2 linked regions of the Drosophila melanogaster genome follow. The protein of the gene in region 1 interacts with the protein of each later gene in a pairwise test. Each region holds a gene or a part of one and is shown on either strand. Other genes may lie near its edges.

What was found. Proteins that work in one complex are often made in the same cells at the same time.
Region 2: the proteins of CG3919 (region 1) and Zaf1 interact in a two-hybrid assay, tested with the Drosophila melanogaster proteins (one large-scale study listed by BioGRID).

Annotation. Positions count from the first base shown.
Region 1 is NT_037436.4:14,408,626-14,418,686, reverse strand, and holds CG3919 (uncharacterized protein), read right to left. Parts: upstream 8,062-10,061; 5' UTR 7,786-8,061; intron 7,607-7,785; 5' UTR 7,593-7,606; coding exon 7,415-7,592; intron 7,188-7,414; coding exon 6,877-7,187; intron 6,653-6,876; coding exon 6,503-6,652; intron 6,432-6,502; coding exon 6,114-6,431; 3' UTR 5,955-6,113; downstream 1-5,954. Other genes in the region: bbg (big bang), read left to right, coding at 1,492-3,920, 3,989-4,117, 4,193-4,607, 4,972-5,112, 5,177-5,325; stwl (stonewall), read left to right, coding at 8,925-9,072.
Region 2 is NT_033777.3:11,621,011-11,631,071, forward strand, and holds Zaf1 (ZAD and architectural function 1), read right to left. Parts: upstream 4,635-10,061; 5' UTR 4,616-4,634; coding exon of another isoform or gene 4,501-4,615; 5' UTR 4,465-4,500; exon of another isoform or gene 4,259-4,464; intron 4,177-4,258; exon of another isoform or gene 4,041-4,176; intron 3,939-4,040; exon of another isoform or gene 3,826-3,938; coding exon of another isoform or gene 3,708-3,825; 5' UTR 3,651-3,707; coding exon of another isoform or gene 3,540-3,650; 5' UTR 3,482-3,539; coding exon of another isoform or gene 3,347-3,481; 5' UTR 3,345-3,346; intron 3,293-3,344; 5' UTR 3,285-3,292; coding exon of another isoform or gene 2,776-3,284; 5' UTR 2,717-2,775; coding exon of another isoform or gene 2,591-2,716; 5' UTR 2,536-2,590; coding exon of another isoform or gene 2,401-2,535; 5' UTR 2,382-2,400; exon of another isoform or gene 2,329-2,381; intron 2,224-2,328; 5' UTR 2,028-2,223; coding exon 1,905-2,027; intron 1,847-1,904; coding exon 1,197-1,846; intron 1,140-1,196; coding exon 1,005-1,139; intron 935-1,004; coding exon 715-934; 3' UTR 629-714; coding exon of another isoform or gene 505-628; 3' UTR 456-504; downstream 1-455. Other genes in the region: CG14710 (uncharacterized protein), read left to right, coding at 1-135, 198-443, 505-628; CG14711 (uncharacterized protein), read left to right, coding at 2,401-2,535, 2,591-2,716, 2,776-3,284, 3,347-3,481, 3,540-3,650, 3,708-3,825; CG6813 (uncharacterized protein), read right to left, coding at 4,501-4,615, 4,688-4,933, 4,993-5,405, 5,466-5,576; CG18764 (uncharacterized protein), read left to right, coding at 5,984-6,100, 6,156-7,042, 7,116-7,226, 7,285-7,399; CG14712 (uncharacterized protein), read left to right, coding at 7,931-8,004, 8,071-8,238, 8,308-8,710, 8,774-10,061.

The DNA.
Region 1 (10,061 bases):
CGAACGATTCCATACATTATATTAAAAAATAGTAATCATGACGAATTCGTCCAAATTCACAGATAATCTGATTCTTCCTCTTATGACCAAGGTCAAAGTTCTTTCATAGGCCCTTGACTTTACATTTTGCAATTTTTCACGCACTTCTTCAGCTTGTATTTTTTCAGCCATAACCATTTTTTTGGTTTCGGCACATGCAAACATGATTTTTTGCTGCCTTTCTTTTCATTAAACAATTCTTATGTTTTTTTTTTTTTTTTTAATTTTTTGCTACTCTTCTCTCTTTATTTTTGGCGAACTTTACATTTGCTAAAGTTCATTAACATTTTGTGTGTGTGGCCAAAAGGCAGAAAGAGTAAAAGATAAAATGGAAAAAAATCCACGCAGCGTTTTCCATTTTAATGAAATTTAGCCTCGTTTTGTTTTTACATTTTTTGCTCAATTAATTATGCAAATTGTTACAAGTCCAAAGAAGCATTCCTCAGCAGCCTGCCCGTATTCCCATTTATGACGAATTCCGTTTAGATTTAGAGCCATAAAACAAATCAAAACTAAATGCTGTCATTAGAAACTCTTTCTAAGTAAGCAATAAATTATTTAAATAGAAATTGGCATCGAAACACCCCCGAGTGACCCAGAAAAACATGCGAAAAATGAGGCAGCACAGTTTGGCTAATTTTGTGCATAAAGGTTTTTGTCAACTCTTCGCTTGAGGGAATCGCTACCATTCTTTTGGCGACTTTCGCTTTTTGGAAAACCCTTTTGTTTTTGTTTTCAAAGTTTTGTTTTCTTCGCATATAATTTGTTTGCCTAAATCTTTGTCTCCGCCTCTTTGAACCTTCTCTTTCTTCTCGCTTTTTGCGAGATTTTTCTTGTTATTGTTGCGGTTTTTAATTGCTGGGATCGCATCCGTAAGATTCGCTTTTGTTTTTCGTCTCCGGTTAGCGCATAATGACAACTATTTGGGGGCTTGCTATAAGCGAAAGTTTCGCTGGCTAGGATGGATGGATGGATAATTATTAAAGTTTTGTAACAGAGCTCTCCCCCGACAATTAATTGACTATTATTTAAATGATTTTTGTCTTTGCTGGAAATGACCTTTTAAATAGTATTTAAACACATTTACCTTTTTCTTTTTTCGATTATCCAACAGCGCACTACTCGAATTCCTATTACCTATAGTTGGTCAAAATTAAGGATATTTGCGTATACCCAATATGTTGCTAACTTTTATCTCTAAAGAACTAACTCAAAAACTTTAAACTAAATACTACATGACCTACTGTTTAACTTAGCAAACCCTATGACGATTTTATACAAAATTAACTTTAAAAATATTATAAGGTTACTTCCTATGTTTATTAAATTGATATTGGAAATTGTTGTATACATTCGTAAGGTACCTTATTTTCCGTCCAATTGTTTTCTTCCCCGTGTTTTATGTTTGACTAACCAGAACCTTTCCCACTCTCTTTTACAATCCTCTTGCAGATCTTGGTACCCTCAGTAACCACCACAGCAATATAAGCAGCATTAGCGGCATTAACGCCAGTAGCAACATCCCGGCAGCAACTTTAATCAGCAGCAGCATTAAGAAGACATCCACTGAGGCGGCAACCACAAAACCTGCTGCACCCCAGATCCCCGGCAAAATGGAGCTGCTGAGCAGCAACACAGGAACAACAACGACAACGACGACAGCAACGCACCACCTGCATCAGGCAACCACCACTAAACAGCTGTTGGTGCAGGATTACCTCAGCTACGCCTCACCACCCACATATTCCCGCCTGCCGCCCGATGGTCATGAATTTCCACCCAATTTCAGCGAACCACTGATCATGCACAGCCACCCACTAAAGGTCACCACCGAGTTGAGTTACGAGATACAGAAAGGCGGAAAGGATGAGTCCTCTGCACCACCGCTTCCCAAAACGGGGCCACCAGCCACAGTTCCCAGGAAAGTATATCGCCAGGATTTGGTCATCAACGTAGAGCCAGCACCCAGTTTAACCAGGGACTATCAGAGATCTCTGAGTGGTGGTACTCCCCGGAAGCCTAGCGATTGGCGCAAGGATGAAAAGTCGGAGAAATCAGTGCGCGACAAGATTGCCATGTTCTCGTCAAACAACGAACTGGATGCCATACCGCCAGCTCCGGCAACAGCCCCCATTTCAAGCTCCTTCACCCGGAAGCCCTTGAATAGGAGCAGTGAAAATCTTCTGGACAGTTGCTCATCATCCTCGGCTCCTTCGCTGAAAACTCGCGCGATGAGCGTGGAAAATTTGAATGATGTTCAGCGGCAATATCAGTTGGCCAAACAGCTGCCCCAGTTGCACGTGGCCGACTCTATGTATTCCCTGAACACAGCCACGCCCACACCGAGCTACGCCTCTTTGCCGAGAAGAAGCCACGGGGGATCTTATTCTTCTGGAGTGGAGAGAAGGATCAGTTTCTCGGGAGAAGGCGGAGATGCGGCCAACCGAAAGGCAGCCATTACAAATATCCTAGAGCAAAGAAGAAGAAGTTTGTCGAAACTGCGAGGATTGGTCATACCAGAGAGACCCCAACTGCTGGAACCCATCCTGGATCTGCCGGAGATCAAAAGCCAGGTAAAAGCAGCCAGCGGAGAGGATAGTACGGATAGCGGATTAGGCGAAAGCCACCGCAGTACGGTGAATAGGAATTGCCAATTGGGTGCAGGAGGTGCCGCAAATAACTATCGCAGCATTTTAAATACCAATCAAAGAAGACCCCTGGAGCAACAGCTCTCTCAACCACCAGCCAAACCACCCAGGACATCGTTGACACCACTTCAGCCGAGAAGCATGATGATACCACCACCACCACCTCCTTTAGATCAGGAAAGTGATACGGATTCGGTGTTTTCGCACACTGCTAGGGTTGCCACTCCGCCGGAGAAGTTTGCACTAACCAGAACCCTCAGCTCCGAAACAAACACTTCGATAGCTAGTTCAAACACCTCTACTCTAACATCAGGATCTTCTGCCGGATCTCAAGCCAGTTGCAGTTCGCTGGGCAGCACACCAGCGGTGGATCTAACCAGGCGGGTTCTCAAGAGCCAGGTGATCAATGGCGAAGCCGTTGCGCTCTCCAGTCGCAAAAGTATTCTGGCCTCGGCCAAATGTCGCAGTGCCAAGAGTCGAGGTCAAGAGGAGGATAACGACAGCACCGATGGTGAAGCCTGTTCCCTGGCCAATCGTAGAATGAAGCCGATTTCCAGCTATAAGCTCCAGCAGCAACAGATCCAACTGGGCAAACAACTGGTAGTGGATAAGCTGATCAATGTGGCCGCTTATGTGGAACTAACCTCGGATACGGACGACAGCAGCCGTAGATCTGATACGCCTGCCAAGATCAGTGCCATGTTCATAGACGAGGAGCGCAAGGCCAGCTTCAAAGGAGATCCTAACCAGCAGGCTAAGGTCAAAGTGGAGCAGGTCAAACCTATGGTCCTCCCAATGCTGCTACCATCTGCGAAAAGGGAACCGCTGAAGCAACAGACCACCGCCGAACTGCGCGAAAAGTTCGAAAGGAGTGCTGCAGCCCAAGCTCAAACCCAAAACCACTCGCCCGTAATCCATAAGGTCACCCAGAAGCCGCATCATGAGCGATTCTCCTCGCTGGACTCCCTGGCGTCCAGTTCCTCCGGCGTTAGTTCCACCACCCAAAACGTGAGCACCACCCAGGAAACGGCCACCGAATTCGGCAGCTTTTCCTCGCTGGGTAGCAACCAGAGTTTGATCACCGCCCAGGATGTCCAGCAGATAGTCGAGGAGGCTGATCCTCCACTAAAGACCCCAGAAGCGTTCATCATCGTCCTGCAGAGGGAAAATCCCGAGAGCAGCATCGGTATCACTTTGGCCGGCGGTTCTGATTATGAGGCTAAGGAAATTACGGTGAGTTAACGCTTGTCATTCTCACTTTTAAACGTGATCTTAATGTAACTTCTTTCAATACCCACCAGATCCATAAGATCCTGAGCAACACGCCAGCTGCCAAGGATGGACGTCTAAAGAAGGGTGATCGAATCCTTGCCGTCAATGGAATGAGCATGCGCGGACTGACGCACCGCGAATCCATCAGTGTGCTTAAGGTATTTTAAATGTTTTGTAATCTAGGGAAAGTAATCTTCATCTTCAACCTTAACTAAAACATTTTTTCTGAACAGACCCCCCGACCTGAGGTCGTGCTAGTGGTGACCCGCTCCGAGTCGCTGGTGGTGAAGGCGCTGACCAAGAAACGATCCTCCCTGGGATCACTTAGCTCGCTCAATGAGAAACCCACGGAGCTGGACTATGAACGCAAGAGGAACTACCACAAGGCCTCCCGATCTCTGGACTTGGATCTTGATCTGGTGTCCAATGAGGCTGGTGAATCGCCAGTGGCTACTACTCCCAGCACGGGATCCGTAAGTCCACCGCAGCCGGCGAGCTTGCACGACGAGGATGCGGAGGCCACCATCGCAGGTATCCGGGCCAGGAGGCAGTTGTCCCGCGGAGATGCCGCCAAGCTTAGCACGAGCGAGCTCCTGGAACGGGCGGCAGAGGCCAGAAATGCCATCGCAGCTGAGATTCGTGCACAAGGTGAGTAAGCCTTTTAGATGAAAAATAATTTAACAATGTTAAAAATTATATACATAAATCGTAAAAGAACTATCTGCATTGCATTTTCGTTATATCTAAAAAATCTGTATGAAATCAATTTGCATAAGCATTATTTACACATCCAGTAAATTCATTAACAGTAAGTCAATTTAAATTCCATTAATCAAAATATATATATTATTTGTTGAAAATACTCGGATAATTGTGCAATTTATTGTATAGTACAAAAATGGAAATATTTATCCAATATTTTTTATTAAATTTGTTAAACTCCTGTGCCTATCGTATATATCAAAAAGTCCATTGTTCATAAATTATTTTAATGAGTCCGGTGTCATTATAGCGGAGGATGCGGCGGCCAGTGGAGGTGGAGCTCGTTGTGTGGAGATTGTTAAGGACAGCTGTGGACTGGGTTTCTCCATCGAAGGAGGCTTTGATTCGCCGCTGGGAAATCGTCCCCTTATTGTCAAAAAGGTGTTCATGGGTAAGGTTAATTTGTCATCCTTCCTTTAAAGCGATTATTAATGAAGGTTGTGTTTCTTAACCAGGTGGTGCCGCCCAGAAGACCAACCAGGTGCGCAATGGCGACGAAATCCTTAGCATCAATGGTGCCTCCACGTCGCGGATGACACGTGTGGATGCCTGGAACTATATGAAGCAACTGCCGCTGGGACCGGTCAAGATTTGTTTCGCCTAGATGAAATGGTCTAAATGAAATACCAACGATGGGGAAGAATGCGCCACAATTTTCATAGATTTAAGCCAATTAGCTTGGTTACCCCTTAACCGGTCTAACCTTGGGGGTCTTGCCAATTCGATGGATCAATGCTGCGAGCGATTTGTTTTGCATTTAAACGAACCTTTAATTGTATGCCTAATTTGATAGATATTTAATTTAAAGTGCAATTGTTTAAACCCTTACAACGTTTTCATGCCCTGCTTACCTACCTATAACTGATCGATGATTGTACATATTACTAATCGAGACTAATTTACGTATTTAAACCTTTAATCAAATTGAAGCCAGCTATCGGGCAGCCCTATTTCCTTATACACAACTTATTATTCAAAAAAACATAACGAAAAAAAAAACAATTATATTTTATGCCATAAATTATACGGGAACGTTATACATGTATATTATTTTAATAATTATTATTTTATTTAAAGAACAACAAAAACAATGTTTACGTATACAAAAGTATTTGCTAAAAATAAACATACAACATATATGAAATTAACCTGAATGTAATTTTTTTAAATTGTCTGGATTGTTTTAATTTCCTTCACAAAAAAATTTTAGTTTTCACAAAAAAGTCTAGTTTTAAATTTAGAAAAATTTATTTATTTAGTTTCAACTTCACATTTTTCTGTTTATACATTATGGGAACATTTCTAAAAACAACTTAAAATGTTATTTGTCCTATGTACTGTACATAAATTTGATATCAGTGTATTAAAGCTGTTCAATGAGCAGTTCGCAAGCTACAAATCTTTGGATGCCTTGGACACCAGCTTTGGCAGCTGCAGCATAAGTCCCATGTGCTGTAGTGGATTCGCCGAGGAGAGACTCGAGGTAGTGGATAGCGTTCCATTGACATTCTCCCTGGGATGCGGCTGCGCTGGGTGGGTTGATGAGGCTGACTGCTCGGAATGGAATATCTCGCCAAGCAGGTCGTACACACGTCGCTTGAAGTACAGCTTCTGGTGGAAGTTCATGTGCTTGATTTCGGGACGCAGTCCCTGCAGGAATGCGTCATCGAAATCCATGATTGGCAATGCTTCAATACAGCGGGTTGATGTCTGAAATAAGAAAATAACAAATCATAAATAAACGCTGTACAAATTAAATTTTGCACTTAATAGATTGTTACTTTGGGGAATTCAAGCAATGGCACTCTATATAAAGTAATTTCTCCCACCTTGGCCTCCTTCTCACTGCTGTCGCTCTCTGTGCGCATTTCTGCCGGGACCGTGTCCTCGAAATCCATGATTGATGATGGTTCATTATTAAATTGTGTTGCCTGAAGAATTAAAGGAAACTGCATCATTAAAATTATAAATGCAAATTTCAGCTTTGAAATAAAAACGGGCACACAGTATAAAACTAAGCTAATTTGCACAGCTTTAACTTTTGACCAAAAATATAGCATACATCATTTTTTTACTTTAAAGTATAGTTCATAACGCTAAACAAGGTTGTAATAATTTAAGGCCTCAGCAAAATGCATCTGAGTATTGCTCCCACCTCAACGTCCGTCGCCGATGCAGGGTCGGTGCTGTGACGGCTCTGCGCATGCTCCGAATTCAGAAAGCTCGGGGAGTGCACCATCTCGAGGATTGCCTCTACGGGAGTTTCGGGATCCCCTTCGTCGTGCTCCTCCTGTCCCTTGGGTCTTGACCTACGACCTCTGAGCGGAACGGGCACTCCGGGAGTGATGTGCTTTTGCAGGAACTTCAGCTCGCTGTTAAGATAGTACGTATTCGCACCGTGATGCAACTTTATTGAGCGGGCATAGCTGGAGCGAATGTTGCGCCAACGTTCCTTGCAGCTTTTAACTGAAATGATCAATAGCAGTCAATAAGATTGTAAGATAATATTATATAATATTTATATAATATAAATTGTAAGATTTTATAAGAGATTATATTTTATTTTATATTATGTATCGACATAGTAAAATCGTGCTTATAAAAATATAAACATCTCCTAATGAAATGTAAATTTAATAATTAAAGTAAATTTAGTTAATATGCAATATGTCGAAATATAGATAAAAACCCACCCGAATTTCGCATCTCATTGGATATTTCCTTCCACGCATTTTTCACAGTCGATTTCCGCAAGTAGTTGTCATCGTGACGATCGTAAAGACAAGGATGTAGTTTCACCAAATGACATATTTTGGCATTGATGGCGTAAACGTTCGGTGGTGGAGCTATGGACCGACGGCGTGTATTCATTTCATATATAAAAACTAAATATGCAAATTTAATTAATTAATATAATTAATAGAGTTAAAGTAGAAGACCCGAAATCGAATCTGAAACATGTGTCGCCTGACCGTGCAACAGCTGTTTGCCGCTACTTTGCTTCTCTGCTCCGCTTTCAACAACAGTTATTTTCTCTGAAACCAGATCTTTCGTTTAAACTTACGTGAATTAGGTTTAAAAATGCTCCAATTAATCGATGTCAGTGCTTTTATCACGAGTTTTGGCTTATTAAGTTCGGGCTCAAGCCGCTCGTTGCTTCCGTGCACGCGGCAGTTGTTGGCGTGGACGCCGGAGTTGCTGCTATTACAAGTGTTTAGCAACTTTGAACACTGCGATTTCGTGCTGCTGCCAACAAGTGATGCAGTTGTAAATGAATGTTGCAATTTCAAATAGCAATTGTTCTTGATTTTAAAGCACATGAGCACTAGACTGATTCGAATTGGACATTTGAATCTTTAACGGGCGGAGAATATAAAACACCGGCAAAATAAATAAAGAAAGGAGCCACAACAAACGGAAAGCCAGAGGCGTAGTCATTCTCTTCGCAAATCAGCGGGGGTTACCATTCGAGCAGCATACAACCCTCTCTGAGAGAGAATTGACATGCCACTGGATCTCACACATACAATGAAAGGCACACTCACTCAAAGTAGACAGCACTGCCAGACTTAATGCAATAGTATAGCAGTTGGTGTTGGCAGTGCCATTTGATCGCTGGAGGTGCTGCCAACGCATTTACCAATTAATTAATGACCACCCCTAAATGTTGTAAATTATAAAAATTATTCAAGAATATTACGATTTTGGTTAAATTAATGTACAAAATAAAATATTTCATATTTGTATTGGCTGTCAAATGAAGTTATTTTATTTTAAGATAAATGCTAACAAATCTTAGAGAAACTGGAAAACAAGGTTGAGCGGTTTTGAGAATTATGAACAACGCGTAAAAAACATTATTTATAAACGTAAAAAAATATTATAGTCTAGCCCGACAGGTAAAAAATAAATTTATCCGGGGCCACCTTGGTCAACCCTCGTCAACGACCGTTCGGCCTGCCAACTCGCTTTTCCCTGCAACGCAAGGCGCCGCTCTCTGCTCACACTCTCACTTGGCTGTGTGTGTGTGCTCAATACTCGCTTTTAGTTTTCGCTGCAGTCGGTCGCCGTTTTTAGTCTCAGCTGCTGCGCGCGTGTGTTGTGATTGTGTGAATTGCGTTTGCGTTTGTAGCATAACACAAAACCGATAAATTCCTGGCGAAGCGAGCTCTCTCGATTGGATTCTTGCAAAGTGAACTAGCGATGAGCGCCGCCTCTGAGGTGAACCTGATGTTGCTGCGGTCAGTGGAGAAGCAGACTGCGCTTTATGATCGTACCGACGAAAACTATAGGAAGCGCCTGCCGAGTGAGAACGCCTGGGACATGGTTGCCTCCGAAGTTGGAGAGTCGGGTGAGTCGTGAGTGCGAGCGGGATAGCAATCGACGTTGCGTAGTTTTCTGCCAGTGCTGCACAGCGTCAACGCGCGCACAACAGTCAGTCGTCCCCGAATTATCGGCCGTCGATAGTTGTGTGCGAGTTGGCAGCGCCATGTATGCCATCACAAAGCAGCTGGCATCGATTAATTCGAATATAACGAGTCTCCTGTTGAATGCGTAGTCGTTTGGGATGAAATTGCTTCTTGCTGTGACATAATTTTTGTAAATAGCTGGAAAGTAATTTATATTAGTTATTTGGCAACTGCAATAATTGCATGGTAAAAACTAAACAAAGTTATTTCGTTTGTTGTTATTATTATTTTTTTAATTTAACATTTTATAATTTATAATTCTCCAACAAGCTTGTTATTTCATATTAAAAAAATGTCTTATTTGAATATTACATTATTTTAGAAGGATTTAAAAATAAATAAATTAAATACAGAAAAACCAAAATATGACAAATAATAATATCTAGTCTATTCAGTAGCCAAATCCATTTCATTTAATTCTTATTAGCTTTATAAATTTTTTTTAAATGATTTGAATCCTTCTGCACGTTTTGGTAACACTGGTAACACTAATCGCCCATTAGCTGAGTAAAATTTAACCTTAGAAAATTGGTATATTGTATTATATTGGTATATTATGAGTGGGTAGTTCCATTTATCCATGCATCTCTGATTTTGTTGTCGGTGTATATCGATTGACCCATATATATTTCCCTGGAAAGATCTTTTGGCCAAACTTTTCGAGCAGTACAATATAAGTTGGCTCTTTTTCATTTGAGAACTGAAAAAATATTGCCAATGATGGGGGACTTCTTATTCGAGAATTCTTGCTGTAAGTTTTATTTATATATCGCAAAAGAAAGAAAAATCCTTTTTAGTGTACATATGTACATACACACGTGCATGTACATATTTAAGTATGATTCTCAATTTGATTGCGATTATTTCCACG
Region 2 (10,061 bases), on another chromosome or scaffold:
GGAAAGGGGGAACCAGCCAAAGTGCAAGGAAGAGGAGAAGTTCATGTGCATCCTGTGCGGAAACGTCTTTTACAAGAAATCTGTTTTCACGGCCCACATGATGACCCATTCAGAGTACAAGCCCCACCAATGCGAGTAAGTGATATTAAGGTTTAGGAAGGAACAAATTTATCCTACAAAAATGTTATTGCTTTCAGAATATGCAATAAATCTTTTCGACAAATGGGCGAATTGCGAGCACACATCCGTCGTCATACGGGCGACCGTCCATACAAGTGTATGTACTGCGACCGCCACTTCTACGATCGCAGCGAACGGGTCCGCCATGAACGGGTCCACACCAACACGCGTCCTTATGCCTGCCAGGAGTGCGGGAAAACTTTTACGCACACAGCCATCCTCAAAAATCACATCCTTTCGCACTCCGCCCAAAAGAATTACAAGTAAGGGAGAGTAATCCTTTCTAGTGATTTGCACTTTTTATTAATAATTTGAACTTTTCAGCTGTGGTATCTGTTGCAAGTCATTCACTCTGCTGCACCAGCTGAAAGCTCACCTGCAAACGCTAACCCACCGCAACAAAATGGAGCAAACCATTCCCAGCTCTCCGGAAATGTTAGAGAGCTAATATAGTAAATTAATTGAGGAACTAGGGTTATCTATTATAAGTAGTATAAAGCCACTTTTCCAGAATAGACCAGCTATTTTTATTAACTATTCTACCACGTCGCTGTACTCCTTAGCTATCAGACGGTGCGCAAGAGACTTCTCGTGCGCTGTAAGTTGGTGCTTAAGCCGAAATTCTTTTTTACACATAAGACACTTGTGAGACTTTTCAGACGAATGCAGGTAGTAGTGAGCGTTACGAGAGGAGGACAGAGAGAATGTTTTTCCACATATGTTGCAAGCATAGGGTCTTTCATTCGTGTGCAAACTGAAATGAAGAAATTCAACATTGGAACTTAAATGCTGTACACAATATATATAGTTTTTGTCCATTCTACCGTTCGTGCTTGCGATGAGTGCTGTTGTCGGCAAAACGGCGCGAACAGTAGCAACATTGGTAAGGTTTCTCGCCCGTGTGCGTCCGCATGTGTGTTTTCAGGTTGCAGGCGGCTCTGAATGTCTTTTGGCAAACCCTGAATCATACATTTTATATATGAAATATTATGTTAAGATATATCACGGATACTTACTCGCACTGGTGGTCCTTTTCCTTGCGGTGCACCTGCGAGTGTGCATTTAGCTGAGATAAGCAGCGGTATGTATTGCTGCAGATCTTGCATCTGTACTTGTCCGGCTCGCAGGCCACTCCTAGATCTATCACGTAGTCGGCACTTGGCTCTAGATTATGGTAATCCTCGCTTGTCTCTTGAATACTGTCCGTAGCAGCGCTGCTTTCTTGCGAATACGTTTCGGAGTAATTTTGATCGGAGATCTCCCTGTCCAAATCCATATCACTGATGGTATAGTCCTCCTGGTGTATGTCTTTCTCGTTTTCCGCATTCACGTTGAGATCGAACACGAAATCGCTTGAAAATTTATTTATGGGTAAGATTTCATCATCTTTGGTCGTTTCCAATGCATTCTCTTGAGTCTTAAAGTTAATAGGATTCTCTTCGATGAGTCTCCCCGAAATGTTCTGCTTCCTGGCGCGTTTTTTCTGTTCAAGCTGGTCCTTATCCTCCAGCGTCTCAAATGCCGATGCGGAGGACAGAGTTTGACGAACGAGGCTTCTCAGGTGCGCGTCGGATTGTTTGCACGCGCTAAGAAATCTGTCCACCTCCTCCAGTTGCATCAAGCAGACTGTGCAAATTTGATCCGGCAGTCCATCATCCGGTTTCACCTAGGAGAGAGGATTTGTAACTGGTAAACTGGAAGCCAAACAGAAATCGAGTACTCACAGATGTGCCGGCATACGAGATCAACAGCTTGTGGGCATTGGACTCGAAGAGCGACTGCAGCGTGGATTGCGTTCCTTTTTTGCGGCAAGTGCGGCACATGCTCCATTTAATGCTGATTTCCATCGTTATTTCCGCAGGAAGTCCCTCTTTCGCGTCAAATGCCGATTCAAATGCCAGAGCAGTGAATTAAAAGTAAAAGGGTTGTCAGGTACGCGGAATTAGTAACAGTTTTCAACTATCATTCCAAATTTTTTTGCATTTAGTTCTAAAACTGTATTTTTATTGCGTGACTCAAGCTTAAATATTTAATAGGGCCCACCTGTTAGTTTAAAAAAAAAAATTAAGATTTAATTATTATCAATTATTCAATCGATATGCCGATAGCAAGTTCGATAGCCATTTATCGTTTTGCGTACATGACAACCCTGGGAAAAGTTCCAAGACGCTTGTTTATTTCAGAATTGCAAGCATACGTACGTCCAGGACGTGCAAGATAATGCCCGAGTACATGTTGTGCCGAATCTGCTTGACAGAGGACATCAACTCGGAGGCGATGGCGCCCCTGTTCGATGACAACGACGCCCAGTGCCGGGAGCTGGTGCGCAAGATTGAAGAAGTGGGCAGCATAAAGGTACATGTGGATGCAAATGTAAAATCCTGCGACTTAACCCACTCTGTGCTTTCAGCTGGTGCCGCTGCAGAACATCCCCAGTATGTTGTGCTACAGCTGCGTGGAGCGACTGACCAGTGCCCACAAGTTCCGGGAGCTTTGCCAGGAGAGCGAGCGCACATTTGCCACCAATGTAGTCAAGGTACGTATAGAGTTGATGGGCCACATATAAACATCCCACTTGACCCGGTACCATGTCAGGCCGAGATGAAGTCGGAGCCAACGGACGAGGTGCCGCACGTAGTGGCTGACAACATTGAGTACATCTACGAATCGGCCAACGACTTCATCGACGGTGTCGAGGATGACATCGGAATGGAGAACATCATGGAGGAGCCCCTGGAGGATGGTGTCGGGGAAACGTCGCAGGCCTACGAGACTAGCACTGTAGTGGACGACCTGGACGAGGATGACTTGCTGGTGCCGAATAGCACCGATAGCGACTACCAGCCCATCGAGCGCTGCCGCAAAGCTAAGGTGCGTAAAACGCGGATGACTAAACGTGGACGTGGCCGACCTCGCGGTGCTAGCTCCGGACACCCACGCAGTTTTAGCGAGGAGCGTCCGCCTGTTCAAGCTAGCTTCAAATCATCTCCCGAAGTATCCTCCACGAACATTATGTGCGAAATCTGCGGCAATATCTACTCCAAGCGAGCCGCTCTCAACATTCATATGCGTCGTCATATGGCCGAGAAACCATTTAAATGCGAGTGAGTATCTGAAATTATCATCTGAACCATTTTATATTATGTAAATCTTATTCCGCTTACAGAATATGCAGCAAATCCTTCGCGGGTCCATCCGAGCTAAATCGCCATATCCGCGTTCACACGGGCGAGAAACCATTCTTGTGTAAATATTGCAACCGCTCGTTTGCGGATCGCAGCTCCAATATTCGTCATGAAAGGTGAAGATGCAATTCCTCATAGTAATCTTCATATAAACTATACTTGTTCCTTTTGCAGAACACACACAAACGAGCGACCTTTCACTTGCTCCACATGCGGCAAGGCATTCTCCTACTCTAACGTGCTAAAAAACCATATGCTCACCCACACGGGCGAGAAGCCTTTTCTGTAGGTCCATTGACTGCTTTAATCATGTATAACCCTAAATTCCCTTTAATTTTTCAGCTGTCGAGTCTGCAATAAGACCTTTTCCCGCAAGCACCAGTTGGATCAGCATTTGGGCACCATGACCCACCAACAGACTGTAATACACCACAAAAACGAACGGACGGGGCGCTATTAGTCGAAAACAATGCAATACAATTTCTGTTAGATAATTCATTAATGTACATTTAATTATATATAAAAATTGTAAAATAAAAAAGAGTACAAATGGTCAGACCGGATGTGTAAAATAATCGGATTTGATTTATTACTATTTGGTTAAAGAACTTGTTCAAAAACACAAATATTTTTTGTAATGTTTTTTATTACGTCCATATATTCGAGAAAAAAATTGGAACACGATTACAATCTTTGATTTTGTGCGTTTATTTGGTAGTTTTAACATCATTTTGGCCATTAAATGAGTGTGCGTTTTTTATTGTTTCTTTTCTTTGTGCTCTGTCGAAGACTTTGTTACCGTTTGTGGAAGCTACAACATGGAATAATAATCGAATGGCACAGGATTAATTAAATCTTCTTTTTTTGGACAAGTAAATATGTTTTGTTTTTTTAGGTTTATAACTTGTAACGTTTTACATCAAAATCTAAAAACGTTTGGAAGTCGGGAGGGATGCGGCTCTTCTTCTATTCCTTAGGGAAACAAAAAGTAAAACCAAATATGCTAGATATTCGCATAAAATGGATTTATGCGAATACCTGTACTTAAATGTACGTCTACCTTGTTAAAGAAAAGGACGCGGAATTTTAGAATTCTTACCGATAGCTAATTAGTGTAATGGCTAGATAGGCAGCTTCATTGTTCAATGGCTAGCTCCGTGAGTTTCTCTTCTTTGCGTTTATGAATATTGCTGGACAGGTGGGTCATCAAATGGGAGATTCGTTTGAAGTGCTTCTGACATACGTAGCAGCTGTAAAATCAAAGTGTGTTGAAACGTGTAATACAAATAATGTGCAGAGTTGGCAGAAATCGAAATGCCCACTAGTGATTCCGCGCATCCACATGGATCATCTTGTGCTTCCTGAGACATCCGGAGCTTACAAAACTCTTTTTGCACGTGTCGCACTCGTAGCGGCGTTCGTTCCGATGGCGGCGATGGTGCTCCTGGCGAGCGCCTGAAGAGGAGAACCGACGTGGACAGTAGACGCACACGTATGGCTGCTCGCCCGTGTGGATACGCGTATGGCTAGTCAGTTCCTTTCGAGTTGCAAAGCTCCTTTCACAATTCCTGAGGAGAAAAATCGTATCTTAGGTGCACTAGCCCAAAGGAGGTTAAGGATAATTTACAAAAAAACACAGTGGAAATTCTTGATGCCTGTGTGCCGGAGCGTGTGCTCTTGAAAGTTTGACTTATTGTTAATGATCCTTCCGCAATCAGGGCATACATATGGACCAGTACCTCCTCCAATTGACTTTTGATGGTTCAAACTAGTCGGTGCTGAGACCTTTTCAGCACTTGGCATTGGAAGATCTTTGACTTCAGGACATAGAATGGACTCGTCCAACTCACTCTCAATTTGGTTATCATCGATGTCTTCGTATATTATTGGATCTGTGGAGCAATCCTTGCTGTCGCACTCAATCCTTTCCAGATTCTGTTTCTCGGCAATGATGCAGCGCTGGCGGAACTTAATGGCTGCCTGCAGATTGTCCAGGCAAGTCGTGCACATTTGGCCGGATATTTCTTTCTTGCAGCTTAGCTGGAAAGTATAAATAGCAAATTAAGTGCCATGATTAAGGAATATTTTTAGACATATTACCTCCACCCCAGTAATGGAGTGAATTTGACGAACTAGATGACCGTTTCCTGGACCAAAAAGGTCTATTGGGGCATCTGATCTAGAGCAAATGCGGCAATTCAGAATTCGCATCTCGACTTTGATTTGTTTTTGAATAATTGTTTACTGTTTACGTTTCGAGCAGCTTATGCGAAATGTGTCGTTAAGCTATTTGCATGGTCACTCTAACTTTTGCACGCATAAACGCTGTTTAGAGTTTTTGCACAGGGATTAGTACCTTATGAAGTAACATAAATACAAATATGTTTTATAATCTCATTTAATAAGAGTACCATAATGGTTTACTGCACTTTTTAAATCATTTAAGTCACACAATGGCATTGCCGCACTTATCGATTTTGTCGATAATAAAACCAGCTGTTGCATCACAATATATATACATACATATGTGTAGTGGATGCGTTTACAAAACAATTGGTTGTTTATATTCGAATTAAACTGAAGTTGGGCTAAACTTCGGTTGATTTTCAACTAACATTATGGCGCTCCAGTGCCGGACCTGCGGCAGCATCATCTACAATAAAATGCCCAAGAATCTCTTTCATATTGAGAACGAGAAGATGCTGCAAGACATAAATCTTGTCACTGGCACAACAGTATGTAAGAAAAATGGTTTCCATTTGATTTGTGCAGCATTTTCTGTGATTGCAGCTCCACAACGATCCAGAGCTGCCCAGCAGCATATGCGCCTGCTGCACGCTTGACTTGAACCAAGCGATTTTGTTCCGGGAGCGGTGCATCCTAACGCAGAAGCAGCTCGTCCATCGTCGTAGATCTCCCGAAGCGAAGGAACCGGCTGAAGATGTTGAGGAGATGGCATCACCGCCGGATTGTCTGAACGATCCATTCGGGGAAGTCGATGAATACATTGTGGAATCCCCAGAAGAAGTTTTGGATCATGATAGTGATGCTCATCATGATCTGGATGAGGATAATTATATTGATTCTGTTGAAGATGTTGATGCGCTTCAAGATATGGCTGAAGTAGCCGAAGAGGATTCTCAAGATGTCGAATCTCTGATCTCAAGTGTACAGAAAGAACTTGAGAGCATTTGCAACGACGACAGCAACTCGGATAACAACGATTACATGGAGCCCCAAAACGGTTCCTATTTCAATGAAACTATAAACGAATATGAAGTATCATCGAACCCAAACACACCGCTGCCCGAATCGAAGAGTGCAGCAGGTCGGTCAACGAAGCCAGCGACCACAAAACCCAAGCGGAAAAAACAGTACGTTACGTGGAAAAATATGACCGAGGAGCAGATCATAGAGCGTAAGCGACTGCAGCGTAAACGCGAGTGTGTTTGCGAACAGTGCGGCCGGCAATTCACCGACCAAAGCAATTTCAAGCTTCACATGCTGCGGCACACGGGCAATAAGAACTTCGCCTGCCAGCAGTGTGGCAAGCGGTTCTACACCGACCATCTCATGACGCTGCACCAACGAATCATTCACCAGGGCGAGAAGCCATACGACTGCCGCTTTTGCACCAAGTCCTTTCACAATAGCAACACTCGCCTCATCCACGAAAGGTAAGGGACGTATCCTTGTATCCACTACGGATTCGGACATTTCTGAGCTCAAACCAAAAAAAATCCTTTCTAGGACTCACACCAATGCCAAACCCTACAGCTGTCATCATTGCGATAAATGTTTTAAGTCAGCTTCGGGACGCAAGCGGCACGAACTAATCCATACAGGAGTGCGAGCCTTTGCGTGAGTATTTTTTGACTAGGCGTTGGTATTCCAAAATTTAATACAATTCCCTTTGCAGCTGCACCATCTGCAAACAATCCTTCCAGCGCAACACTCACTTAAAGGCCCATCTGCGATCTAAATTTCACACTGCAAAAGCGAAAACCATTGGTGCGGAGGTACTACAATTATAAGCTGATATAGTATTTAAATTAAAAAACAAGTATTAGATATAAGAAATAAAGCAATGTTTTCATTTAATTGGAGTGCAAACATTTAAATTGCGATAAAATTTTATTAACCCGATTTAATAATCGACACATGCTGCAGTGCAGCCCTGCCAATAAGTATCCAAGGTGGCAATCCTGACATATTTCAATATAAATTTGGAGTGAAAATAAGAATTTTTATTCAAGTTTACACGTCTGCCCGAAACTTCCAAATACATTTGACGGAGAAAGTATTAAACATTATTTTTTATCTTTAATCGTTTATTTAGCCAAAGGCTTAAAGATTTTGGTATATTTTGGCGCTTCACCAACGGTCACACAGTAACCATTTCCTATGAAATTCACATTGCATTTCTCTTTAGAATTAATAAAACTAAAAAAAGAAAGAAACGAGATTGCACACAATCGTTTACGACGAAGCTTGATTCACCCGCCAAAAGTGTTCCCCTCCGCCCGACTGCACTGTGAGAATACCGGTTGTTGACCTTCGGCAGCATGGAGCGTCGTCGCTTTAACATGAGCAGCATGTCACCCATGGCGGATTCCACGCGGATTGACGCGTCGCTGTTGTAAGACACCACCTGTCCAACTGGATTCTAAGCGGTTACTAATCAAATTTGCTCTCCTTTGTTCAGAAACAATCGTCCGGCGGCCAGTAATTTCCTGAGGGGACTGAGTCCCAAGGGGTCGAATACCTCGCTCAATGGCACACGCACTCCGGAGCGGTCCTTGATGAATCGCTCTGCCACATCGTCCAGTACCATAACGCGACAGAAACTGAACCTCAGTCAGGTTGATCCCAGGTAAGTCAAAGCTTGTGTGCCATTTCACGATGTGACGAAAGTGCAATATCAAATTTTCATACCTTTCAGAACCTTTGCCGATGTGCATAGCAGCGGACTGTCATCCCGGATCGTGGCCTTAAGCGAACGCAGTGGTCTGCAACGCAGCATGTCCGCCAGCAATCTTTACAATCCCTTGACGCAGCCGCGCAGAGCGCCCGCTTCCCCGTTGCCCTACAAGTCAAGGGCGCCGACGCTTTCGATCACGCAGATTGCACCACCGGAGCGCAGCTTTTATTCCGGAAACACGCTGTCAAGCCTGTTGCGATCCAACTCCTTGGTAGGGTTAGTGCCAAAGACCACCGAACAGGAGCAGCTTTCGAGAGAGAATCGACCCATATTGCACCCACCTCATCCACAGCATGAGAGCGAGCCAACTAGAAGCGTGTTGGAGGAGCTTAAGGAGATCTCCCGAAAGCGCATCAACACTGAAGTAAGTATAAGCCATCAATCATCCTATGAGAAGATCACCGGCTTACACTTGGCTTGCTTTCAGGATACGCAACAGGCTCAAGACTACACGAAAAGGAGTTGCCAGCAAAACGTGGACTTTGTGGACTTTGTGGCTCATCACCGTCAGCAACAGAAACTACGTAATTTGCAGCAACAACAGAATCAGTCCTTTAAAAGGCAACGAGAGCTGACGGTATCGGTTCCGCTCAGGCATCATTCGACATCTTTGTCGGCTGCTTCTCCTGCATTGCAACATATGAACTCGAATGGAACCATCTCCCCAACACAATCTCCGGAGCAGGTAGCCAAACGTCCCAATTGTAGCTACAGCAACGACATCACTTCCTCGCTGAGTTCCAGTTGCCGTCACAGCAACAAGAGGAAGCTGTTGGACATGCGAGAAAGGTTTCAGCACAGCAAAAACGACACACTAGCTAGTGGAGGAAGCTCGCCTGAGAACTCGCCCGAAAATGTTGCCAAAATTCAACGTAAAGTTGATGCAGAAGCTGTTAGCAAGGCAATGAGCATGCCCGTCGTGACTGTGGCGGCAGTTCCTGCTTCACGAGCCATTTCGGCTCCTGCCATTCAAAAGGCAGTTCCGCAGGTGACGGAAAAACCTAAGCTTACACTCTTCAATGCGCGACAATCTCAAACGATAGCGGAACAGCCGCGACCCGATTTGAGTAGCCCGGAAGTAGATGCCGGCGAATATGCAGGCATTCAGTTCGTGAAGCCTAAACAGCAGAATTCCATGCTGGCTGCCAAGAACCCTAGCGTAGAACGCACACACAAGACCAAACTAGCCATTATGCTAAGTGGATTGAAGGGCGAACTGTACCTGGGTGAGCCGGACGAACTAGATGCCCCAGCGCCGAAGTCAGCGCCAGCGCCTGTGACGCTTCCTACTCCCGTCAAACCCATCATCATAGCTCCTGTAACCACATCCACTACGACCGTTACGTCCACCGCAACCATATCAACTTCTGCGCCCAGCAAGCCGATAATACTAAGTAACCAGGTTATAAAGCCAGCAGATGTGCCAAATACGAATAGCACTGGCTCAGTGCCCAAACTTGTGCTTGGTCAGCCTGCGCCGCCCGCTAAAACGGAACAAACACCACCAAAACCCATCGACAAGGTCCCGGCAGCACAAGCAGATATCCCACCCAAGTTTGAGCTATCAACCAAACCCGTTACTCCAGCAACATCATCTCAACCACTAATCAGTTTTGGCACACCAAAATCCACAGCAGCACCATCATTCTCGTTTGGAAGTGCGACCAATACCACTAGTAGCACTATTGCTAATATCACCAATACTACCACATCAA